4 linked regions of the Arabidopsis thaliana genome follow. The protein of the gene in region 4 interacts with the protein of the main gene of each other region in a pairwise test. Each region holds a gene or a part of one and is shown on either strand. Other genes may lie near its edges.

Evidence for each region.
Region 1: the proteins of MYB51 (region 4) and ALDH11A3 interact in a two-hybrid assay, tested with the Arabidopsis thaliana proteins (one study listed by BioGRID).
Region 2: the proteins of MYB51 (region 4) and CEV1 interact in a two-hybrid assay, tested with the Arabidopsis thaliana proteins (one study listed by BioGRID).
Region 3: the proteins of MYB51 (region 4) and G2484-1 interact in a two-hybrid assay, tested with the Arabidopsis thaliana proteins (one study listed by BioGRID).

What each region holds. Positions count from the first base shown.
Region 1 is NC_003071.7:10,326,384-10,331,602, forward strand, and holds ALDH11A3 (aldehyde dehydrogenase 11A3), read right to left. Parts: upstream 3,626-5,219; 5' UTR 3,442-3,625; coding exon 3,339-3,441; exon of another isoform or gene 3,236-3,338; coding exon 3,074-3,235; intron 2,869-3,073; coding exon 2,675-2,868; intron 2,582-2,674; coding exon 2,453-2,581; intron 2,361-2,452; coding exon 2,241-2,360; intron 2,168-2,240; coding exon 2,031-2,167; intron 1,954-2,030; coding exon 1,798-1,953; intron 1,712-1,797; coding exon 1,333-1,711; intron 1,253-1,332; coding exon 1,136-1,252; intron 1,056-1,135; coding exon 942-1,055; 3' UTR 752-941; coding exon of another isoform or gene 726-751; 3' UTR 542-725; downstream 1-541. UniProt on the Arabidopsis thaliana protein: Important as a means of generating NADPH for biosynthetic reactions.
Region 2 is NC_003076.8:1,529,605-1,537,493, forward strand, and holds CEV1 (Cellulose synthase family protein), read right to left. Parts: upstream 5,955-7,889; 5' UTR 5,644-5,954; intron 5,534-5,643; 5' UTR 5,487-5,533; coding exon 5,463-5,486; intron 5,291-5,462; coding exon 5,095-5,290; intron 4,977-5,094; coding exon 4,771-4,976; intron 4,678-4,770; coding exon 4,575-4,677; intron 4,463-4,574; coding exon 4,285-4,462; intron 4,177-4,284; coding exon 3,910-4,176; intron 3,810-3,909; coding exon 3,464-3,809; intron 3,384-3,463; coding exon 3,246-3,383; intron 3,158-3,245; coding exon 3,032-3,157; intron 2,951-3,031; coding exon 2,738-2,950; intron 2,612-2,737; coding exon 2,350-2,611; intron 2,187-2,349; coding exon 1,984-2,186; intron 1,888-1,983; coding exon 1,537-1,887; intron 1,382-1,536; coding exon 797-1,381; 3' UTR 528-796; downstream 1-527. Other genes in the region: RUL1 (Leucine-rich repeat protein kinase family protein), read left to right, coding at 1-413; AT5G05180 (myosin heavy chain, striated protein), read left to right, coding at 7,320-7,392, 7,489-7,889. UniProt on the Arabidopsis thaliana protein: Catalytic subunit of cellulose synthase terminal complexes ('rosettes'), required for beta-1,4-glucan microfibril crystallization, a major mechanism of the cell wall formation. Involved in the primary cell wall formation, especially in roots.
Region 3 is NC_003075.7:9,694,688-9,699,693, forward strand, and holds the start of G2484-1 (G2484-1 protein), read right to left. Parts: upstream 3,020-5,006; 5' UTR 2,874-3,019; intron 2,736-2,873; 5' UTR 2,663-2,735; exon of another isoform or gene 2,636-2,662; intron 2,496-2,635; 5' UTR 2,486-2,495; coding exon 892-2,485; intron 697-891; coding exon 289-696; intron 136-288; coding exon 1-135. Other genes in the region: TIP2;2 (tonoplast intrinsic protein 2;2), read left to right, coding at 4,631-5,006. UniProt on the Arabidopsis thaliana protein: Under salt stress, appears to prevent the accumulation of reactive oxygen species (ROS) in roots and required for the maintenance of cell wall integrity (cellulose, pectin and lignin composition) by interacting with importin alpha (e.g.
Region 4 is NC_003070.9:6,387,406-6,391,892, reverse strand, and holds MYB51 (myb domain protein 51), read right to left. Parts: upstream 2,495-4,487; 5' UTR 2,129-2,494; coding exon 1,993-2,128; intron 1,879-1,992; coding exon 1,749-1,878; intron 1,660-1,748; coding exon 867-1,659; 3' UTR 507-866; downstream 1-506. Other genes in the region: AT1G18560 (BED zinc finger and hAT dimerization domain-containing protein), read right to left, coding at 3,888-4,487. UniProt on the Arabidopsis thaliana protein: Transcription factor positively regulating indolic glucosinolate biosynthetic pathway genes.

The sequences.
Region 1 (5,219 bases), on a different chromosome or scaffold from region 4:
TTTAAAATGTAACTAAATTATTTAAACTGAAAATAGAGCATTACACTTCCACAACTTCTTAGGATATTCTTCCACCTAATAATCTGGTGATCATATTTTAAAAATAAAATATCAATGTCTCAATGTCTAATGCAAGCAAGGATGAGAACTGAGACTTGAGAGTGGACTTTCTTTCTTCCATCAATTGGAAACTGAATTTGTTTTTTTTTAGATCTCTTCGATTATCTCTTCTTGAACTTCCGCTGTCATTGTCAACTAAAAATCTACAGTTGTTTGAAAAAAAAAAACTATTCTGTTTAACTTTAATCTCGACTGCAATTACCATTCAATTACCATAAATCGACTTATAATTTATTAGTGTGAATGTCTTAAAATGGTAAATCCGTAAATGGTACGTACTCCCACATTTATTTTTTCTTTACTCCCACAGTTATTCTTATTCGGTTAATTATATTCAGACAGAACTTGATACTTTTTTTTACCACATTAATACTCCATACAAAAAGTATTCATCTGACCAGTTTGTACTTTCGATACCATCTGAAAGAATACTTTATTGTAGTAAATTTTTGGAAAATTCCAACGGAGAAATCAATGAGATTGGTCTCAAACGATTATCTTAAAATGGAATATATTTTCAATTATTACCATTAACCAAAATCAAAATTATTTTAAATGATAAAACTCCAATTATCAAAAGAAGTTTTCAGTTTTGTGTGCTCGAATCACAGGCGTGAGATGAAACCGTCCCCTGTTATAACACAACACAACCAAACCTCTCACTCATCTTTCATAATATCCTCTTATTGGTTACATAGAGATTACAAACCATAATAGTTACGCTAATCACTCCCTTTATTCGCAGTATTCGATTGAATCCAATACAAACATGACATGATTGATTTTGATTCTAAGATGAAGAACATAAAAAAAAAGGGAAACTAACCCATAGAGTAAGAAGGTGTAGGCAAGTTAATGACAGTGGTCTTCACTTTAGTCATCAAATTGATGCTATTTGTCACACCTTGTGACCCTATTCCACTGTCCTTAAGTCCCTGTTTATTCCAATCCAAAACCGAGTTAATCAAACCGGTCATAACGGAGGCAAAAAAGGGTCTAGACATCGATGGTTTACCTGGAAAGGGAAGTGGTCCGGTCCACGAGCTGGCGCAGAGTTGATCTGAACGGTTCCTGTCTCCATTGCATCACTGATCAGTATTGCCTTGTTGATGTCTTTAGTGAATACACATCCCTTCAAATGCAATTATTGTGTTAGCTCTGGTTAAATGCAAACCATATAAACCGGACTAAACCAAATCCATATAGCCAAACCTGAAGGCCAAAGTTGCTTGCATTGCAATGATTAATCCCTTCTTCAACAGAATTGATCCTCAAGACCGGCACAACAGGACCGAATGGTTCCTCCCACGCGATCCTCATGTCCGGTCTAACATTATCCAAAAGCAACGGCCAAATCAAGTTACCCTCTCTTTTATACTCTTGACAAAACGTTGCTCCTTTCTCCTTAGCATCCATCACCAATCCTTCAATGAAATTAGCTGAAGATTCCGACACCACTGCCGTGATATCGGAGTTCTCTTCGGGCGGTCCCACCGTGAGTTTGGCCACTTTAGCTTTCACTTTCTCAACAAGCTCATCCGCTACTGATTCCATCACTAGGACTACCTTAACCGCAGTGCATCTCTGCCCGCTGGTTAAGGTAGATAAAACCGGTTAACACATAATCACAATTGGTTAACTACATTCATTGTAACTAGGCTAGCTATAGCATAATACCTGTAAGAGAATCCTCCTTTGATGATATTGGAAGCAACTAAATCAAGATCAGCATCATCTAGAACAATGCATGCATCTTTACCTCCAAGTTCCATTTGAAGAGGGATCATACCAGCTTTCTTTGAGATTGAGATTCCGGTATCACCACCCGTGAAACTGAAACCGGTTATCAGAAATATTAGCAGTTAAAATGAACATAACCTGTTTTGTTGAATGTGTGTATATATATATACCTAATGCAGTTAACAGCAGGGTGCATAGTGAGGAAATCGCCGATCTCAGATCCTTTTCCGGTGATGCAGCTGATAAGACCTTTTGGGAAACCGGCTAAGTGAAAGCAATGTACCATGTGAAGGCAAGAAACAGCTCCCTAAAGAAACTGACCGTTAAAAAGCATTTTCAAAACATTCATTTTAAAAGAGTGTTAAAAGCTTCTTAGTTACTTGAGTTGGAGGTTTGAGGACAAGGGAGTTTCCGGCGATCAAAGCAGGAGCGATCTTCGATACAGCGAGATTAACTGGATAATTGAATGGAGGAATAGCCAAAACCACACCGAGTGGAATCTTCAGATCAGAAAACAAACACATAATTTGATCAAAACATTTGTTAACAACTTCAACTATTGACGCATACATATGAATCTAAGAGATTATACCTTGGAAGTGAGGCAGTACTTAGTACGGTCATTACCGGGGAAGCTATCGGAGAGAAGAAACTTCCCTTCACCTAAGATCCTAACACCTTCTTCAGCACAATAAGAGATCAAATCTCCAGACCTCACAACCTTTCACCAATATCAAACATTAAAGATCTTGAAAAACACAAAACAAAAAGAGCTTCGTATGAAGTTGATGCATAGAGAGGGATATGGTGAGACCTCAGTAACAGAATCTTTGGCGGGTTTAGCGATTTCTTTAACAAGAGACTCAGCCATGGGAGCTTTGTTGTCCTTAAGGATTGCTGCAGCCTTGTGAAGAAGCTCAGCTCTTTTCCAAAGAGGAGTTTTCGCCCACGATTTCTGAGCTGATTTCGCCAGTTCCATCACCGCGTTCACTTCTTCTTGCGTGCATGCTGTGTTAAACAGAAAAACAGAACATTGTCTTATCTTGAAATCCTCTGTTTTTATCTTCTCTGTTTATCTTCGGAGATTCTTAGGTTGTTATCAAAACTTGTTCAAGTAATCAATCTACCAAAATTCATCAATATTTCTAGTATATATCTCCAAATTTTTGCCAATATCTGAAATCAAGAAAGAATGAAACTTAATGAGATATACCTTGAACCTTGTACTGTGTCTTCCTCGTGGCCGGGTTCATGATGGCAACACTCTTACCTGAGGAAGAAGTTTTCCACTCACCATCAGCGTAGTATTTGTATACTTCTCCATCAAGAATCTCAGCAAACAATCCAGTCCCGGCCATTGATCTCTGAAACAAAACTTAAAGAACACAAAGTTGTGTGTGTTGTGTTGATTTGTGTTCTGTTCACACAATGTTTGAATATATATAGCCAAAGAGACAAAAACAGAGAAGAAGACTAACTCTCTCCTCTGTGTCTCGCTTCTTGAGTGTTGTATAAGAGAGAGAGAGAGAGAGAGGAAGTGATTATTGATAGATTTTTATGGAAGGAGTGGTGAAAGAGCATGAAAGGTAGATAGATAGAGATAAGTGATTGAAGGGTAAAAAGAAAATCTAGAAAAGGATAAAGAGAGGGAGATGAAAAATTGTATGGTGAGAAATGAGAATGAGAATTAGAGAGAGTGAAGAAGAGTTTCTTGGTGTGTGATCGTTTTGTTGGTTATTGAATAGCTATTGGTCCTACATCATTGTTTATTAACGAAGGGACTCATGATAGCCACAACCACAAACATGTCTATGTATTCATCATACACAAACAAACATGCATGTATTTATTTTCCAAGGTCCGGTTGTTATGGAATATTCCAAACAAATTCAAAAAAAAAAACAATTTGGTCATATTATTGAAATTTCAAAAAAAATCTTGAAAAGTTTTAAACATTTTAATCCATCTTCTATAACATTAAATAATCAAGTGATATTATTCATGAATTTTACAACAATTATATGTAAGCCATTGAAAAAGATGATATGTAATTTGCATAGCAGACATATTCTCAAGTGGAACTACAACTCTATAACATGATCAAAAAGAAAAACAAGTTAGAGATTTCATCAACTGAAACAAGAATAATCAAATGTTTATAAACCAAAAAAAAAGTAAGCAGAAACAACATATTTAAAGTATACCAAGATTTTTTGAGAAGATGAAGATGTTTAGGTTGCATTACAAAATTAACATCTCAAAATAACAAAAAACGCTATGGAGTGAAATCACATTGTTTGAATGTTGGATGTGTAAGTATTATTAAAAAACTATAATATTTTCATATAGAAAGTTTTAACATAGATGTTAATTTTGCATAGTGAAATCACAAACATATATTTTTGCATATGAGATACAACATAGATGTTAGTCAAATTATCAAAATTTAGATTTATCTTTAATTGTTGTTATTAGAACAGTTTGGGCTCTATATGATAAGAGTTTTACCTTTAACATAATAACTAGTTGAGATATAAACACAATAAGAGATAAGTGGTGGCCTTCAATACAAATAGTTCTTCTTTTTGTGATTGATGACATATATAACAATAAAAACAATATACTATGTTAGTAATGTCGAAAATATATAAGATTTGATTAATTTATAAAGTTACTAATTGATTCAAAAATAGTAATTTAAGACCAAAATATATTAATCTATCAAAATACTAATTACGGAGTATTGTTGTAGATGTTTTACTATACTCTTAACCACAATACTATTATCATTCAAACTGAATAACAAAGATGCTACGATACTATGATAAACAAGGAAATTGAATAAAGCCAAAAGCGGTTTTGGAACTAGACGTAGTTATCTTGGTTCAAGGCCTTACACGTTTTGTTTGTCTCTGTAAGTTTATTCTGATGTCGTGTAACATAACTAAATTTTAAGTAAACTAAAATTTTACCTCATTTGTTCCTTACAAAGTTATGGAAAATTTAAACGACGGTTAGAAGCTTTTGTACAGAGTTCGTTATCTTCTTTGGGACAATAAAAGACGATAAGATTTTTTTATTTTTTTTTAAGAAAACATTTTTCTCTTTTGTGATTTTAATCTTTTGAAATGCATGTTAACACTTGATTTAATTCATAAGTTAACTGCTGATTAACTCTTAATTACTCTTGATTAGATCTTACAAAGTGATAAAATATTAATTTTTGCATATCCTATTAAGAAAATAAAAATTATATTCAACAAAGAGTTATTTAGGTGGCATAGAAAATATATTTCAAATTCAGAGTGTCATAATAGAATTTCATGTTATAAACTGTGATGGTTTGAGACATTTAGTAT
Region 2 (7,889 bases), on a different chromosome or scaffold from region 4:
TTGGCTACAATGCTCCTGAAGTTATTGAGACGAGGAGAGTCAGTCAAAGATCAGACGTTTATAGCTTTGGTGTGGTGATTCTCGAAATGCTAACCGGGAAGACACCTTTAACTCAGCCTGGTCTCGAGGATGAGCGTGTCGTCATTGATCTTCCGAGATGGGTTCGGTCTGTTGTGAGAGAAGAGTGGACTGCAGAGGTTTTCGATGTGGAGCTCTTGAAGTTTCAGAACATTGAAGAGGAGATGGTTCAGATGCTTCAGCTAGCGTTGGCCTGTGTTGCAAGGAATCCAGAATCGAGGCCAAAGATGGAAGAGGTCGCGAGGATGATTGAAGATGTGAGGAGATTGGATCAGTCTCAGCAGTTACAGCAAAACAGAACATCCTCAGAGGCTACTTCCAATGTCTCTGAATGATTCCTCATTCCGACCAAAAGTTTCTTTGATCAATTCTACTTCTATCTTATTACTTTTGAATCCCAGTTAAAAATAATTTCTCTTTGCATCGTAGTTTAGTGCTTATGATCAAACGTAACTGCTTTCACTAATGAAAATTGAAAAATCATAACCACTGCTTTAACTACAGAAACAAAAAAATATTCGCTTTCACTTTAATTATAACTTTCCAAAGTAACTAGAGTAAGATATATTCTACACATAAATTTATGACACCAAGACAGAAGAACGAACAGACAGATACACACAACAAAAGTAAAAAAGTGAACAAATAAAACAATGAAAAATAATTTAAATTCTGTGTTTTTTTTAACCCTCAAAACAGGTAAATATTTGCTCGCTTCTCAACAGTTGATTCCACATTCCAGAATGTCCGGGCCAGTGACTCGGCTAGTGAAGGGATCAATCCTAACCCACAACAACGAGAAGATAGAAGCCAAGAGAACAGACCAGACCACAACAATGGTAGGAGTCCGGTTCTGTCGACCCATCAAACCCTTGAGGAAAGGGTACAAGTGAACAATCACCCAGAAGGCAAAGAACAACTTACCAAAGAGTGGTCCCCATGATTGGTATCCACTGTTGATAGCATAAGAGACTCCTGCAACAACTCCCACTAAGTTTACAATGAGCAGCGTCGTTGGCGGAATCAGAAGTGTTGTCCATTTGAACAAGTAGAGCTCAGCAAAGTCTCCGTCTTCATCTGAAGCTTTTGAGGTAACTGTGAAGTTTGTGTCAATACCGGCAAGGACTTTGAGGATACCTTGAAACACAGCGAATAAATGAGCGGATACTCCACCAATGACCCAAAACTGCTCGTTTCTCCACCATTCGTCTATGCCTACGCCACTCCACCTCATTTCTAGTATACCCGTGGCGAAAATGGAGAGAAAGAGAGACAGAAACCATATACTTGCAATGTTACTAATCTGCAAAAGAGGAACAATAGAACCAGCTGATCAGGATTTGGAACCGTAAATAGATGACAAACACAACATGGTTTCAGTTAAACAGAACGTAATTAAGGTTTGTTCTAGAGATAGAGATAGAGATAGAGATAGATAGACAGAGAGAGGTGTCAAACCTGAGGAATAATAAACTGGTTGGTGAAGAGACAAACGGCTGGCAATGTACAATACATGAGAAGAGGAATGGAGGTGATAGGGTAGATGGTGGTGTTCACATACGCAAACCTCTCAAGAAATTTTAGCCTCCCATTGTAACCATACCATATAGGACAATGCCGACTGAAGAGAATCTCAACTGAACCTAAAGCCCACCTCAGCACTTGGTTCAGACGATCTGAAAGATTGATAGGAGCAGAACCCTTGAAAGCTGGAAGCTTAGGCATGCAGTAAATGGATCGCCATCCACGGGCATGCATTTTGAACCCAGTCAGAATATCTTCTGTCACAGAACCATAGATCCATCCAATCTGAAGAAAGACAGCGGAAAATATAAACAAAGTGAATGCCAAAGTGGATATGTCAGAACAATGCAGATTCATGTAGGAGTTCAAATGAGATTATACCTCCATTCCCCAATCTGACTTATCCTCATAACCACAACTAATGACATGGATAGCCTCTTTGAGAAGGTTTTCTGGAGTTGCTGAAGGAGGAACACCACCATTTTCCATTAGGGTAGAAGCAACAAAAACAGCAGACTGTCCAAATCGCTTCTCCAGGCTCATTTGCGACATTAAGAGCGCCTTTTCATCATCAAAACCAGCACCTAAGTTTCACAAATGCCAAATAGTTAAGACATGATGAGATACCTAGTATGGAAACTATTTAGACAACTGTCAACTATAAATAATCCCCTCCCCTGGATCAATATTTCAAACAGCAACATATGGGTATAACGGAAACCAAAGAAGAAATAAAAACAGTTGTACCTTCAACTCCCTCTTCTATGTCATCGAGGTTGAATACAGGAACAGTTGAGTCAGTATGCCTGCCTGATTTCTTTTTGTCCGACTCTTTCTTAGCTTTGGAATTCTTCTTTCTTGATCCACCACAGAGCTTAGATAAAAGACTTGGCTTCTTGTGTTTTACTTTTATTGGAGGTTCATAACCGTATAATGCTGTTCTGTTGAAAACACATCCAGTTCCGACATATACAGGTCCTTGAATCCCATCTAAACCTCTCAAGTTAATCTGGAAAACATATCATGGAAAAATTACGACAAACTCAAGAAACTGTGAGTTTAATGTATATTCGTGTCTAAAAGCAATTTGAAAGAACAAGAAAATTAGACGCAAGTATAGGTAAGTGTGACTTACATCAAAGAACACGGTATTACGATTAGCATATCTATCGTTCTTATCGATACCATCAAATCTTTGTGGGAACTGAACATAACAAACTTGCTTCCCGAGGTTTGGGTCCATCAGGAAGCACATTGCTTCTCTTAAGGCTTTGCTGTTATTTATGTAATGATCACAATCAAGATTCAAGATGAAAGGTCCATTGGTAAGAACTGCTGAAACTCTCACCTATTCATTTGAAAAGTACCCAGATTAGACTAACAAATTGGTCAGAATGAAGAAGTCAAAAATCCAAGATCAGAAACTTACCAGTGCATTCATAGCACCAGCCTTTTTGTGGTGCTGGAATCCTGGTCGCTTTTCTCGAGAAACATATACCAAACGCGGGAGCTCATTGCCCTCTGCATCAAGTCCACCATTTTGCCCTAAGAAGACCTGCATTCAGCAAATGGTACTTCAATAATGAACTTCTAGAGAGAAAGAGAGAGCATTCTCGATTCCATAGTTAAAACCAATTTCTTACCTGGATCATTCCTGGATGGTCCCTTGTATTATTTCCAGGCCACGGTGTGCCATCTTGCATAACCCACCCTTCTTCAGGACATTTTAGGGCTTTGGAAACAAGTGCATTGATTCGGATTTTAAATTCCTCATATTCCCTCTGAAAGAAAATAAAAGGTCAATATAGCATACACTAAAATCAAAGTGAGGGTGACTAGATGACTAAAACTACAAACTTACCTTCATAGCTCTACGATCTTTGACAAATGATGTCTGAACTTTATCCTTCAAGTAATCTATTTTCGCAGCAAAGTACCATTCTGGTGCACGAGGCTCTATGCTATATTTCTTGCAAAATGGTACCCATTTACGAGCAAACTCTGATGTTTCTGCAAGTGATTCAAATGATAACATAGCAGCACCATCATCAGAAACATAACAGGACACCTTGTCAACTGGGTAGTCAACAGCCAGAATAGAGAGCACTGTGTTGGCTGTCACAAGGGGTGGCTCCTTCAAGGGGTCAACAGTACTCACGAAAATGTCAACAGCAGCTAACTGTGATGGCTCACCTTCACGATCATATCTGTCCCAAAAATTGACCATGATCAAATTAAAATGGGAAACAGTATAGGCAAACAATCCTTTGAGTAATTGCTTCAGAAGAATGGGGAAATAGAACTTACCTTAAAGCAAGCCTGTCGAGGTAGGTTTCACGGTTCACAGGAAACCACTTGGGAAACTGATCCAAAATCCAGGATAAGGCAAACCAGATCTCACATATCACAGAGACCAGCCATAGAGCAAAGGCATTTGGCACTGGGTTTGTTATACGGTAATGCAAGAAGAGACAAAGGATAACAAGCCGCAGCATAATAACCATTCTGTAAGGATTGATCCGTGATGAAGGAATTGAAACTTTCCTTGACAGAGGCTGCCTCGCTTCGTCATTCCTGTACAATAAATAAAGAATTGGAAAATGAGTATCAGGACATTGCTTAATAGGAAAAACGCTCGGTACACCACGACAGAACAAACAAGATTACAAAACAAGAACTCACAGCAGAGCCTCATCTGCTAGGATATCTGTGCTGGCATCAATATCTACTCCACCTCTTTCAGAAGCAGCCTGCGTGCTGACAGGACCAGTATTCTTCTCTTGCTTCATTTTCCAGCCATCAACTCTCTCCTTCCAAGCTACATTCCCGAGTCCAACAGGATCCACAATCCTTCTATTTGCTGCAGCGTGAATGACAACAACAGATTTTATTGTTTAGAGTTTTGACATAAAAGAGAAGCCTAGGTACAAATATATGTGTTGGCGAGAGAGTTAGAAATAAAGGATATTTACGTGATTGATTGACATCTGATGAATAGGGAAGGCGCTTTCCCCCAGCGATAGTAGAAGATACAGAGAGGCGTTCAGGTGAGGCAGCAGAAAACTCTCCTGAAGTCTGTAAATAAGCAAATGACAAAATCAGATTCCAAAACTAAATTGCGTGAGGATGCGAATGCTTAAGAGGGAAGAATGAACAGCAATGCCTTACATCTTGTCTGCTCGTGAGACGAGGAAGATGATTGTGAGAGACCTCTTTATCATACTGGGGTTCCCCCATTTCCTCTCCCTTCCCACGAGTAAGATGCCAACCAAGCATCCGCTCTGAAATTTTCTCCTTCTGAGGGTAGTTGAACTCAACAGTACCTTCATCAGCTAAGCCATCCTCGTCTTTATCACCAGGAATAGCAGGACTACCTAGAATCAGAAATTAGCAAATTGCTATAAATACCAATCTGATCCAAAATTCAAAACATACTGATAAACTATCGATGAACAATGAAGACAGTATACTTCAGAAGGATCAAAAGAGAACCTTTGAGCCTCTTGTATCTGGTTTTGCACTGAGGACAAGATTGATTCCCATCTTTCCTCTCATACTCGTAGCAAGGCCGACAAACTGGGAATGAACAAATATCACAAGCCACAAAACGATCTCCATCAACAGTCTTGCCAACATTGTCACTACAGATCTGGCAAGTCTGCGGAACAATGTTCTTCATCGGCTTTCCCTACAAATCAAGTCGAATCAATGAAGCCAAAATTAGAAACCTCAACAGAAAATTTGAAATCAGATCTCTCCAATACACAATTCAACACCCAAATCAATCAATTTCAGTACATATAATTCCTGATTTCGATAAAGGTAAGTATAATGATGAAGCAAGAGTCAAAAAAGCATACCGCGGTTTCTCCTTCGGATTCCATTTGTCACTTAGTTGCTTCCAACACCGAAACGTCGGAATAGTTCAAATCTGATCGGAATTATCAAAAACAGAAACTACGATTAGATCTGAGGAGATCCGAGTAAAGGAAGTCAAATCTGAGAATGGATCATGAGTGTAAGAAGAGTTAAAAGCTTTACCATGAGATCTGAAGATGGAGTGTGGTGATGTGACTCTCTGAATCTCTCTCAATCTGGATCCAAGCTTTCTTCTCTACAGAGAGATAGTTTATAAGGAAGACGAAGAGGAGAATCTTGGGATGGCTAAGAAGATGCAAAGAGCAAGCTATTTGTCTCCTCTACTCGTCACTCTTCCAGATTTTTAAAATATTAATATATTTGTCACAAATCATAATCCAACCAAGCAACAACCACCACCACCACCGACAACTTCCACAGTCGATTTTTTTCTAGTTACAGTTTTACAGTGGCTGTAAAAAAAGTGAAAAAACGGCCGATAAACCTTTAAAATATCCTTAGAAATATATTATCATCGAATTAGTGACTAAATCAAAATAGTAATTGATATTTGATAGTGATATAACTAAAATAGAAGTGTGAAGAACACAACAAATCACAAGTAGTGGGGTAAAGGATATTCATCGTCACTAACTTTCTTACAGATAAAACTTAAAAAGTATTTGCCGACAAAAATAAAACTTCAAAATATTAATTAATCAACGGATTAGTCCAATGAATAAATCAAAATATATTGATAGTGATGCTTTACTTACTAGTATATCAAAATAGGCTAAAACCAGCGGGCTGAAAAAATAAAGGTCCAACTCTAGTATCATCAAGCCCAACAGAATCGAGAAAATGGGTTTGTTGGACTTTGCAGACAAAATTGGTATATGTTCGGTTTACGTTATTTACGAGAGAAAATTGAATCGAACCGAACCCAATAATTAATAGGTCAAACTTTGATAACTGGTGGTGCATGTGGAGATGTGTGGCCACTAGTGCAGCAAAGAACAGACTGTCAGATAGACAAAAGAAGAAAATGGCAAACATTTGAATCCCAAAGAGCGCCACTTTCTCTTCGCTATCCGACAAATCTTCCCTCCTCTTTGTCGTCCCTTTAAACCTTTCCACCTTCTGCTTCGTAACTCTCGTACCCTAGCAATCCTCTACTTAAACCTTCCTTTGTTTCTCCTTCACTTTTCCTGTAAATCTGCTCTTTTGTTCCCTCGATCATATCAATTTTCAAGGTCAGTGAAATCTCATGTTTATTTGGTCCTATGTGAATCAGATTTCAGGGTTTGATATTTGTTTGTTCCGTTGATGTGTTTTGTAGATCTTATGATCTGAGTTACTTGCTCTGTTTTTCTGAGATTTATGGAGGGTCTTTGTCTATGTTTCTTCACCGTTGCAAATGAGTTATAATTTCTGTTTACATGTAGTGAAAAAAGTTCAGTTCTGTGACATAAGAAAGTCTTAAAATTTACGCAACCCTAGTTTTTTTATTTTCTAAGATTTCAATTAAAGAACATTAGCTTGTCTCTTCATGATAGTTTTCCACTGATTATTATCACAACTTTTTTTTTTGTTAGATATTTTTAATCGAAATTATTGTAGAGATAAATATAAATACGTTTTTTTTTTTTTTGGTCAAAAAATATAAATACGTTTAGTTATAGCTAAATCTTAGGAGTATAAAAAAAAAAAAAGTAAATAAAAATCTTACCAGTTTTTATATCTCGTATATCTTCTGTATTTTTAGGGTTTTTCTGTTACATCATTCTATGTTTACGTTTCTTTGATTTTTTTTTGCTTGATCATTTTTAAGTTGATTCGCTTTTTGTTGTTTAAGTGTAATGGATTTTACAACAGTTGAGGTCCCAGATGAGTGGCCACATAATTCGAATTCCTTTGTGGACATCTCAACAGGTATAACCGTATAATTCATTCATGTCTTATTTTGGTTGTGTGCGTTTCCGTTCAAACGTAGAAATCTTATTAGACATATCAATTGTCAAGTTTCAGATCACAATGGATCTTCACCTCCTGTAACTCCAAAGTCTGATACAGTAGCTTCCAACTTTGACCAAGGAAGTTCTGATGTTTCTGGCAATCATGATTCTAACTCTTCTTATTCCGATTTAGATTCGGACACGGAGGCCTTTTACTCATCTTTTAACCATCACCTCGTATCACCAGGGTCAATGGATAGCCATGACTTATCCCCGGAGAAACAAATGAGTTATGAAGAATTGATGAAGAAATATGTCCAGTGTGAAGAAGAGCTTAGGACTACGAGTTTGAAACTTCAAGAATTTGAGCAAGAGATTGAGAAACTAAAGGAGACCGAGAAAAAAGAATCGGTTGTTCTGTTTGGCGAGTATCTACGTGGTGAGCGAGAAATCGCACAAGGAGAAATTGCGATT
Region 3 (5,006 bases), on a different chromosome or scaffold from region 4:
CTGCCATAATCCCACCAGAAGCAGCAGTATTATCCTCTTCCTGGCCATCTTTTCCAGCTTCACTCCCAAGAATAGGCAAGGAGCTAGTAATAGGCATTTCATTTTTGTTATCCTTGTCCAGAACTGACAGAGTCTCTGCGGAGTAAGACAGCAAAAGAAAAAAATGTTGCTACAACATGAATCAACCCATCGAAAGGTAAACAAATCTGGTAAGGTCTCCATGGCGGGGCAATATACAAAGAAACAAGCTAGTGCAATTACTATGGCCCAAAATAGAAAAATCGTTACCAGGAGCTTTTACAGCTTCTGTTACTACATTCTCTTCAAAAATTAATTCCTCAGACTGCTGCTGCAAAACTTGTCCAACACCATCAGCATCTACTGCATCCTTTGACCCTTCAGAGCGAGGACAGCCTTCAACAGAGTATGTACTTTGCTTAGTACCTTCAGCACGCTTCCTAGCTTCTTGGTCCATCTGACTCCCTGAACAACTTGCATCCACAGGTGGAACGGTTTGACCATTTTCAGGTTCACCATAAACCTTCTTGGTTTCAGAGTAACTGCCTTGGTCACTGTCATCAGAGGATGTCTTTACCATATGTAAATCTATTGAAGATGTGAGACTGACAGCAGGTGCTCCATCTTGACTTAGAGGTTGTAATTCTTCGAGATTGAGAGAACTGTCAATCATAGTCTCTGTGGAAAACATTTAGGGGGAAACAAGTAAATTACTTGAAGTAATCATGATATATACATTTACAGTGGAAAGGTGACCCCGACAGAAGCAAAAAAAAAAGCTGAACAAGGGCTACTTAGAGAACGAGAAGGCAAAACGTAAAAGTACACAGTATGAAAATAGAGTATATTAAAAGGATTAGAAAATATGTTTACCTGACTTGTCTGTTGGAATGCTGTCAGATTGAGATTCTGACTCCGCCAACTCTGAAGTAGAGCCTCCTGAAACATAGCCAACAGAACCAGACACAACGCTTTCAGATAGGATCTGAGAGTTCTTGACATCTTGATCTCTATCATTGGCATTGACAGGCAGTTCCATGCTTTGCTCGAGATTAGAAGTGCGAGCACTACCTTCATTGTCACTCTTCTTAGACACACCACCTTCTCTAGCTTCAACCATTGAGTCCATCGTTGAAATATAAACACTCTCTGAAGTTTCAAATACGTGTATCTGCGGATATGTCTCAGTCTCTATCTGAAAAGTAGACTCATGTTCACTTGTAATAACTTCCATATGTTGATGACTAAGCAACTCGGGCTTCTCAATGGAAACACTGTTTGTTATAGTTGTCAATTCCCCAGCAAGTTCCAAAGACGCTTCAACAGCTACGCTAGTATGAACAGTGCTGACAAGGAGATCTTGGCATTCGGTCCCAGAAACATCTTGTCCACCTACCTCAAGAGTAGAGGGAGCTTGGTCCCCTCTTTCTAGTACTGTGACATCAGATAGCTCTATCTCCTTCAAATCAGGCTTTGCAGTTTTGCCAATATTTTCAGCTTCCACTTTTTCAACTTCGGAAGCTGAGTCTATATGGCTATCAGAATGACCTTCAACCAAAATTGACCGTGCATCTGCAGTTAGATCATTGCGGTTATAACTACTTTGAATGTGGTCGCTGATAACATTTTCATCATTGGAAGTCTCTGGAAGTAAAGTGCTCTGATTATTCAACTCACCGCTACAAGTAATAATAGTCTGTACATTCCCATCGCTACAATCATCTTCCATCCTTGATTCTACATTGGCTTTCTCTTCTGTTTGGTCAAGAAGATTATCCGTCGTCTCAGTTCCTATTTTACCAAGATCAGTAGTATCTATAGCCTCTACCGTCGCGGTATTAGAAGTCAAGATGGAATTCTTTTCCTCCACAGATGCCTCTTCTACAGCCGTTGGTGAGTCATCTTTAACCAGAACCTGCTCCTGTCCATCATCTGTCTTTACCACAGAGGACTCTCCTGGAGTATCATCCACAGAGGGGTTGGGTTGTAAGTTCACCGTTTCCTCTTTGGAAAGACTTCTTTCATGGGATGTCTGACCAGGCTCTACTGTTTCCATTGTGCAGCCTAGTTCATGAGAAGTGTCAGATTTCTTGATAGTATCCTCTCTTACAATAACTTCGTCCTGTCCAACTGAATTCAAAAGCATTGCAACAGATTCCGACGAAGTAGCCTCAGACCAAACATTATTGTGCCTAGAAATGGCACAGGACTCCGTTGCACCTGAACTAAACACTATACCACTACTTCCACGAGAGAAATCCTCAATCCAGTTATTATCTTCGTTACCCTCAATACCAAGAAAAGCTTCAGATTCACCTAAACTATCAAACCTCAGATGCGTGTTGAGTGTATCATCAAAATCAAACTTTGGAAGAGCATAAGGCTGTAAAACTGGTGGAAATTTGTTGTTGGCTTCACCAGCTAAATGGAGATTCTGGTTTTGAAAGTCACTGTCATCATAATCCATGAGTTTATTCCTGAAATCAGAGACATATATAAACATCAAACAACCAAAAGAAACAAAAGCATAACACAACAACCGTGAAACATATTTAAAGAAGCGACTCTGGTCATTTTCTTGTCGAGTGGAGTAAAACAGTAGGAAAGCGAAAAGTACCGACACAAGAGTGTATGGAGACGCTACCTCCCTCCATTCGGTGACAAGAAAACCTGGCCGTCAGACCTCAACTGTTACCTAATCGCACGTTCATCTACTACTGCTCCACCAACAACAAAACCATACGCGTCAATTATAAAATCTCTTCCTTCTCAAAATTCAAGGGCACACGAAAACCTAAAAGAGTGAACTTTCTTAAAATGATAAATTGAAACGCTAGCGAAGAAGTTAAACTCACCGGAAAATTCAAACTGACGGAGGTGACCTAGGGTTCCGGCGAAGAAACGAGGTTTGGCGAGTGAAGCAGATTGGGAGAGAAATGCCCGATAAATTATATTCGCTTTCCTCGGCAAATGAAATGAGTCTGGTTTAAGTAAAGCCCAAAATTAAATAAATATTTGGAGAGAAAATAAAGATGGATACTGATGCCGCTTAATCCATAGTGACACGTGTCGAATTTTCTGGATCGTGTGGCTAATATTGAACTTAAACAAAAAGACGCGAAAGGTTTTTTACTTTTAAATTAACGTACGTTAAAATTTAGTGTAATTTACTGGCTAGAGTTCCGTTAAAAGAAAATTAAATGACCAAGAGGTAAAAGAAAACAACTTTTGTTTGACGTGACTGTGGTAAAAGTTAGAAGATTTATTGTTGAAATGACTATTGACTACTGATTAGTGTAATGAAGATGATTGGTTGGCTAAACAAAATGGAAAGTGTCTTAAGGATAAAATTAGAGAAGAGACATGTCACTCACTAACTAATAGATAGAGGCTTTTGTGTGTTAGGCAATTGACGGATTGGACTTTTGGACCATCAGATCAAAAGGAATCCATTGGGATATTTATATGGGCTTAGGCCCACTTTATAATTTTTTTCTGTTAGGTTTTTTTGGTATTTTGGTTTATGAATGATAGTATTTGTACCATAGATGGTTTGGTACGGTTTCGTATTGGTATTGGTTCGACTTCAAGTTTTAATCAAATGTTTATTTAACTTGAAAACAAAATTGGATTTAAAATCAGGTTTTTCTTTCTGTTTGTTTAGTTTGGATTCGAATTCAATATTTTGAATAGGAAAAATGAATTCATAATTTTAAAAAAAATATAGTTCATTTTCAGATCGATTATTTGAGTTTGGACGTTTGGTTCATAATATCAGTTTACTGGGATGGAATAATTTTCAACTTTTAAGCGGTAGTGGGTGGAAAAACATTTGTCAGGGATCGGTTTAATCTAGGATTGAGCATTCCACTTCGTTGTTCTATACTGCAAATTAAATTCATGATAATAAAAAACTATCCATAAACCATATACTAAAAATATTACTTTTAAAATTCATGGGGCGGAGAAAGTATTATAAACAACCATCCTCTCTGCAAATTTTTATTTAATGTCACCACTACTTTGGATCACTTTTCTAAGATCTTAAGTTTTCTGTTTGTTGCAATTTTATTACATGTATATGCCAATATCTCTTACACACCAACTCCAAACAAAGCAGCGGTGGTACATGAATTAACTCCTAATCCCTATTAATATTTTAGGCGTTTAGCACCTCCCAAACTAAAAAATACAAATTGTAACCAAAAAAAATATATATAGATATAAAAGAATACGACCATCTATCATAATTGGTGTGAGACAACATTAGTTTAAATGCAGGATATTAACATGACAACAGAACACTCTTATCTTCACATATTATGAAATACCTTATCCATCATTTTCATAGCATTATACCAATTGGTTGTCTTTAATCATCTTCGATGTCACTAACCCTCAAAATTCAAAAGAAAATGAATAGTCTAAATAATTGGCGGTTTGGGCGGCATCCAATTGTGACAGGCCACGTAGAGTGGGACCAACAACTTCATTACCTCGTTTGGCTCTTTGCTATATATAAAGTCAAGCATTAGTATGCCCAAAACCACACAAATAGAAATAACTTGTAATCAACCAAAGTCGAAAAACAGAGTTATTTTGTCGGATCAAAATGGTGAAGATTGAGATAGGAAGTGTGGGTGACTCCTTTAGTGTAGCATCTCTTAAGGCTTACTTGTCTGAATTTATCGCAACTCTTCTCTTTGTGTTTGCTGGCGTTGGCTCTGCTCTTGCTTTTGCCAAGCTCACATCCGATGCAGCCTTGGACCCCGCTGGTCTTGTCGCTGTCGCTGTGGCTCACGCCTTTGCCCTTTTCGTTGGTGTTTCCATAGCCGCCAACATCTCCGGCGGACACCTTAACCCCGCCGTGACACTCGGTCTCGCCGTCGGTGGCAACATCACAGTAATAACCGGTTTCTTTTACTGGATTGCTCAATGCCTTGGCTCCATCGTCGCGTGTCTCCTCCTCGTCTTCGTTACCAATGGCG
Region 4 (4,487 bases):
CTTGCTTTAAATTTATGTGGGTCTCATTGCTGAATATTATTCGTATGTTGATAGGGTGAATTTTATATACATTAGAGAATGAAAGATTTAAGTCACAAAATAAGTTAATCGTTGGTTTTTTTTTTAATATACAAAACTGGTTGAGGATATATTTCTTTACCAATCTGCTCAATCTATTAGCCCTAACTCATAAAATAAACCAGAGCATCTCCATCCATACAATTTTTAGAGTTTCTTTTGATAAAGATAATATAAATAATTAATAAATGAGGAGAGAGAATGACAAAAAATGAAGAAACGTTTCTTGAGAAATTTTGGAATAATCAGTGAAAGACTATTTCTATAAGTGTTTGCTTATAATTGAATATTTTTTTTAAAAAAAAATAATTACAAAATTAAATTACAGTAATTTTTTATTTTATTTTAAAACCTTTTAAAGTATCTTACAGATGAAGATGACCTAATAGTGGAATACTGCCAATTAAAATTTAAAATAGCAATGGTACTAGTAGTTAGCAGCAGCAGCAGCTAATGAATGATTTTTCAAAATAAAGCAATCTCATATTCGGATGGATACAAATTCTGATAACCAACACAATAAAAGTACTAAAGTTAACAACTCGTTAACATTATAATTATTACATCACCATTTATAATCCATTTACAACGAAACAACACACTTCAGACCAAAAAAAAAAAACACAAAAACACAAGCATATGTGACAACACGAACTACATTCATGATTCATGCATGGTCATCATCACCATCATTATTTATTATTATTACCATCAACATCATCAAGGTAACATATCCATAGACATCATATTGACATGGTCACGTGGGATTCATCGATTATGAGTTTCACTCATCCAAAATAGTTATCAATTTCGTCAAACAAGTCTTGACGTTCATAGACCGGCGTCACATCAACGACGTCGTTTTCATCCTCGTGAAGAAACCTCGTAAGTTCTTTCATGAACGCAGTGTTTTCAACACAAGACTCCTCCAACATCATGAAATCTTCATCATTCAGAAATGTGGAGAACCCGATAGTATCCTCATCATCAACGTTGTTATTACCAACGAAATTATCGCAGTACATTAGAGGATTGTTAACGGAGGAATCAGAGAACGTGGACGAAGAACACGTCAGATTAACGTTACCATCAACGTCAAAGTTCGATGAAACTGGTGTTGTTGCAACGGTCCCATGGCAGAGAAGATTCGAGGTTGGTGCGAAGGAAGAACTCGTTGACTTAACTGATTCAGAGTCAACGGAAACACTTGTAGTTGTAGTATTAGTAGTGTGACTAGTAGAAGCAAGTGGGCCTCCACTTCCGATAATCTCAGACAGAACACTCTGATTGATTCTCTTTCCGAACCTATTAGCTACTTTGTTCAAGAAACTAGCCGATGATAATCCAAAATTCTTGTTGTTCTTCTTCGCCTTGTCATTATCAAGATCATGGTCACTAGTTGTCAGATTAACATTTTGTTTCTCCGGGAGGTTTTCTGATTTGTCGGTACCGGAGGTTATGCCCTTGTGTGTAACTGGATCAATACCTTTCTTGATCAAACGTTTTTTGATATGAGTGTTCCAGTAGTTCTTGATCTCGTTATCGGTTCTTCCTGGTAGTCCACGAGCTATAGCAGACCATCTGATTAAAACCACATATAAGATTACAATATTAGTAAATGTTAATGCAAACAAAAAATAAGTATAAAATGTAGAGGTAGAGAGACTAACTTGTTGCCGTGAAGGGCGTGAAGAGAGATGATTGAACGTTCTTCGTCTTCAGTGAACTCTCCTCTTTTGATGTCAGGTCTAAGATAATTGGCCCATCTCAGTCTGCAGCTTTTGCCGCATCTCTTGAGTCCTATCCAATTAGAAGAATTATTTAAGTAAAATAATTGAGCAATAATGACCAATAAAGGTCCAACATTGAATATTCAAACATGACGGAATAAACATAATAAAAAATAATACATACCAGCTTTTTCGGGGAGAGTTCGCCATCCACCTTCACCGTGGCGGTTAAGGTAAGAGAGAAGCTTCTGATCTTCCTCGGGAGTCCAAGCTCCTTTCTTTAACCCTAGTTCAGCTTTGCAACACGGTGTCCGCACCATTCTTGATTCTTCAAACTTAGCTTTCTTGATCGAGTTCAAAGGGGGTTGTTCTCAAGTGAAACAAAGAGGGACAAAAAAACACAAAAAAAAAAACTGAGAGGTGAAACAAAGTGTGAAATGGGGCGTATGATCATAGAGATTGAGCACAAGATCTTTTGATTAAAGAATTCAGACATCGGTAGATTCTTCGAATAGACATCTTGTTCTTTTGTGATACTCGAGATCGTTATAACATTGAACGAGCAGAGGAGAAGAGAGATCTAGTTGCTCTGTTTTCTTACCACAAAGAGAGACACAAAGAGAAGGTTTTATAGAGAGAATCTTTTTTTCTCTAAAGAGAACTGTTTGTGTTACACTTTGCAAAGTGGGAAACTTATAGGAAAGAGCCCATCTCTATTTATGCTTGCCTGAGGCTGTACGTGTGGCTGCTGCCAACGTCGTCGTTTAAATATGACTGACACATGGCTCATTATGATTCCTTAACGCAATTTTTTATAATCGGATTATTACATAAAAGAAAAACTGCTAACTTTTGTCAGTGGACATTTTGACACTAGACTTTTGATCTTTCTTAAACTAATTTATTTTATTTTGATTGTCAATAAAAAAATACTACGAAGACATCTATTATATAATATCATTTTTCATAATCCCATGCATAAGAACCGCCACATCTGATATGATATTGATAGTAGCAAAAAAAGGGGAAAAAATAGAATGAATATAGCAAAGGTTGCTAAAAAAAAAGAATGAATATCAAGCATGCAAAATATGTAACGTAAAATTGTCTTGCCTATGTAAATAGCTAATTACGTATCAATTTATTTTGAAATCTATGTCTGCTATGCAAATAGTTTTGATTATGCAATCCAAAATATAAAATTTATTGAAGAATTATAATACGGCGCCGGCAGGTCCGGAACACCAATTAAATTAAAATCCTGTTGAACTTTCTCTTCGATCTTTGGAGATATTTTGTATTGACCCGATTCTTGACCAAAATTTTATTTTAGTTTTTTGGTATTGACCGTCGGTCCAAAGTATATATGAAACTATAATTTCTCAGCAAGTTTTTAATTTTATAACGAGTAAAAAAAAAGCTTTATTGAAATTGGCAACAAATTTTAACCAATGTAAAAAAACATTTTGAATTTATCAGAAGAGTTAAAAAATGTCTATCGAAATGAAAAACCACAAAGGTACGTTTCCATGACAGAATGAATTCAACTTTAAAACTTGGAGTGCGAGGACTTTTCAAAATACGACTGAACTCTTAGTATTTTTTTCTCTCAAATATTTAAATATGCTTAAACAATCATAGAGACGACAAAATTATAAAGAAACAATTGGCAAACTAGCACACGAATTGAAAATTCGAGGAAGGTAAGGTAGAGAGGTACAACACAAAAGTAGTCGTATTTGAACTAGATTAAATTAAAGCAACAACTTGGTCACTCAAACACTGGACTTGGACATATCGATATCCATTATACCAAGGAAAAATCTAAGGTACAAAGAAAGAGATAAGCTATTTTCTTTTTTCGTACAACTAATTTCCACTTTTCTAGTTAGACAGAACCCATTAATTAGTCAACATTGTGTTTTTTTTTCTCTCTAATATGATATGAAAGTACATACGGTTATGAAGAAAGCTAACCAGCTTGGTTTACATCAACCCAACTCTAAATTCAATGATTCATGCTAAAAGTATGACAACTAAATTACAGTAGTTCTTTAGTACAAATACTAAAAAATAATCTCACCTATGTTGTTGAATTTTTTCTAAACCTCCGGCAGAATTATCAGCGGCCACGGTGGCAGCTAACTCCATTAGTCGTTCATAGTCAATCTCACTACACTTGTACTTCAGTTTCATACCAGCTTCAATCCATGATCTGATACAAATAACAGATTGTGTGCTATCATGAGGCATGCAATACTTCTGCTTATCAATCTCTTCTCCTTTACCACAAAAGATCTCTTCCGGTGCAGCAGAAGTCGCCTGAACCGCAAGGAAATCCCGAGCCATGTTGGAAAGTCGCGGGTATCTTCCACTGTTTACCTTCCACCAATCAAGCACATCAGTCTGCATTGGAACTATAGACTCTGATAAGTACTGAGTCAGTTCATCAACAACATTGTTACTCATACTTCCTCTTCTTTTCCTTCTAGCGATTTCCTCTGCAAATGAGATATTTCCTCCTCCTTCATCTACCTCCTGAGGACGATACCCGCTAGTCATTGAAGATGTGAAATGAGAGGAAGAATAGTTACGAATGAAATGACTTCTTGCTTCATCTATATAGCTCTCGAGATTAATCGTCTCTGGAATGTACTCTGTTTTGATCCGCGGGTCAAG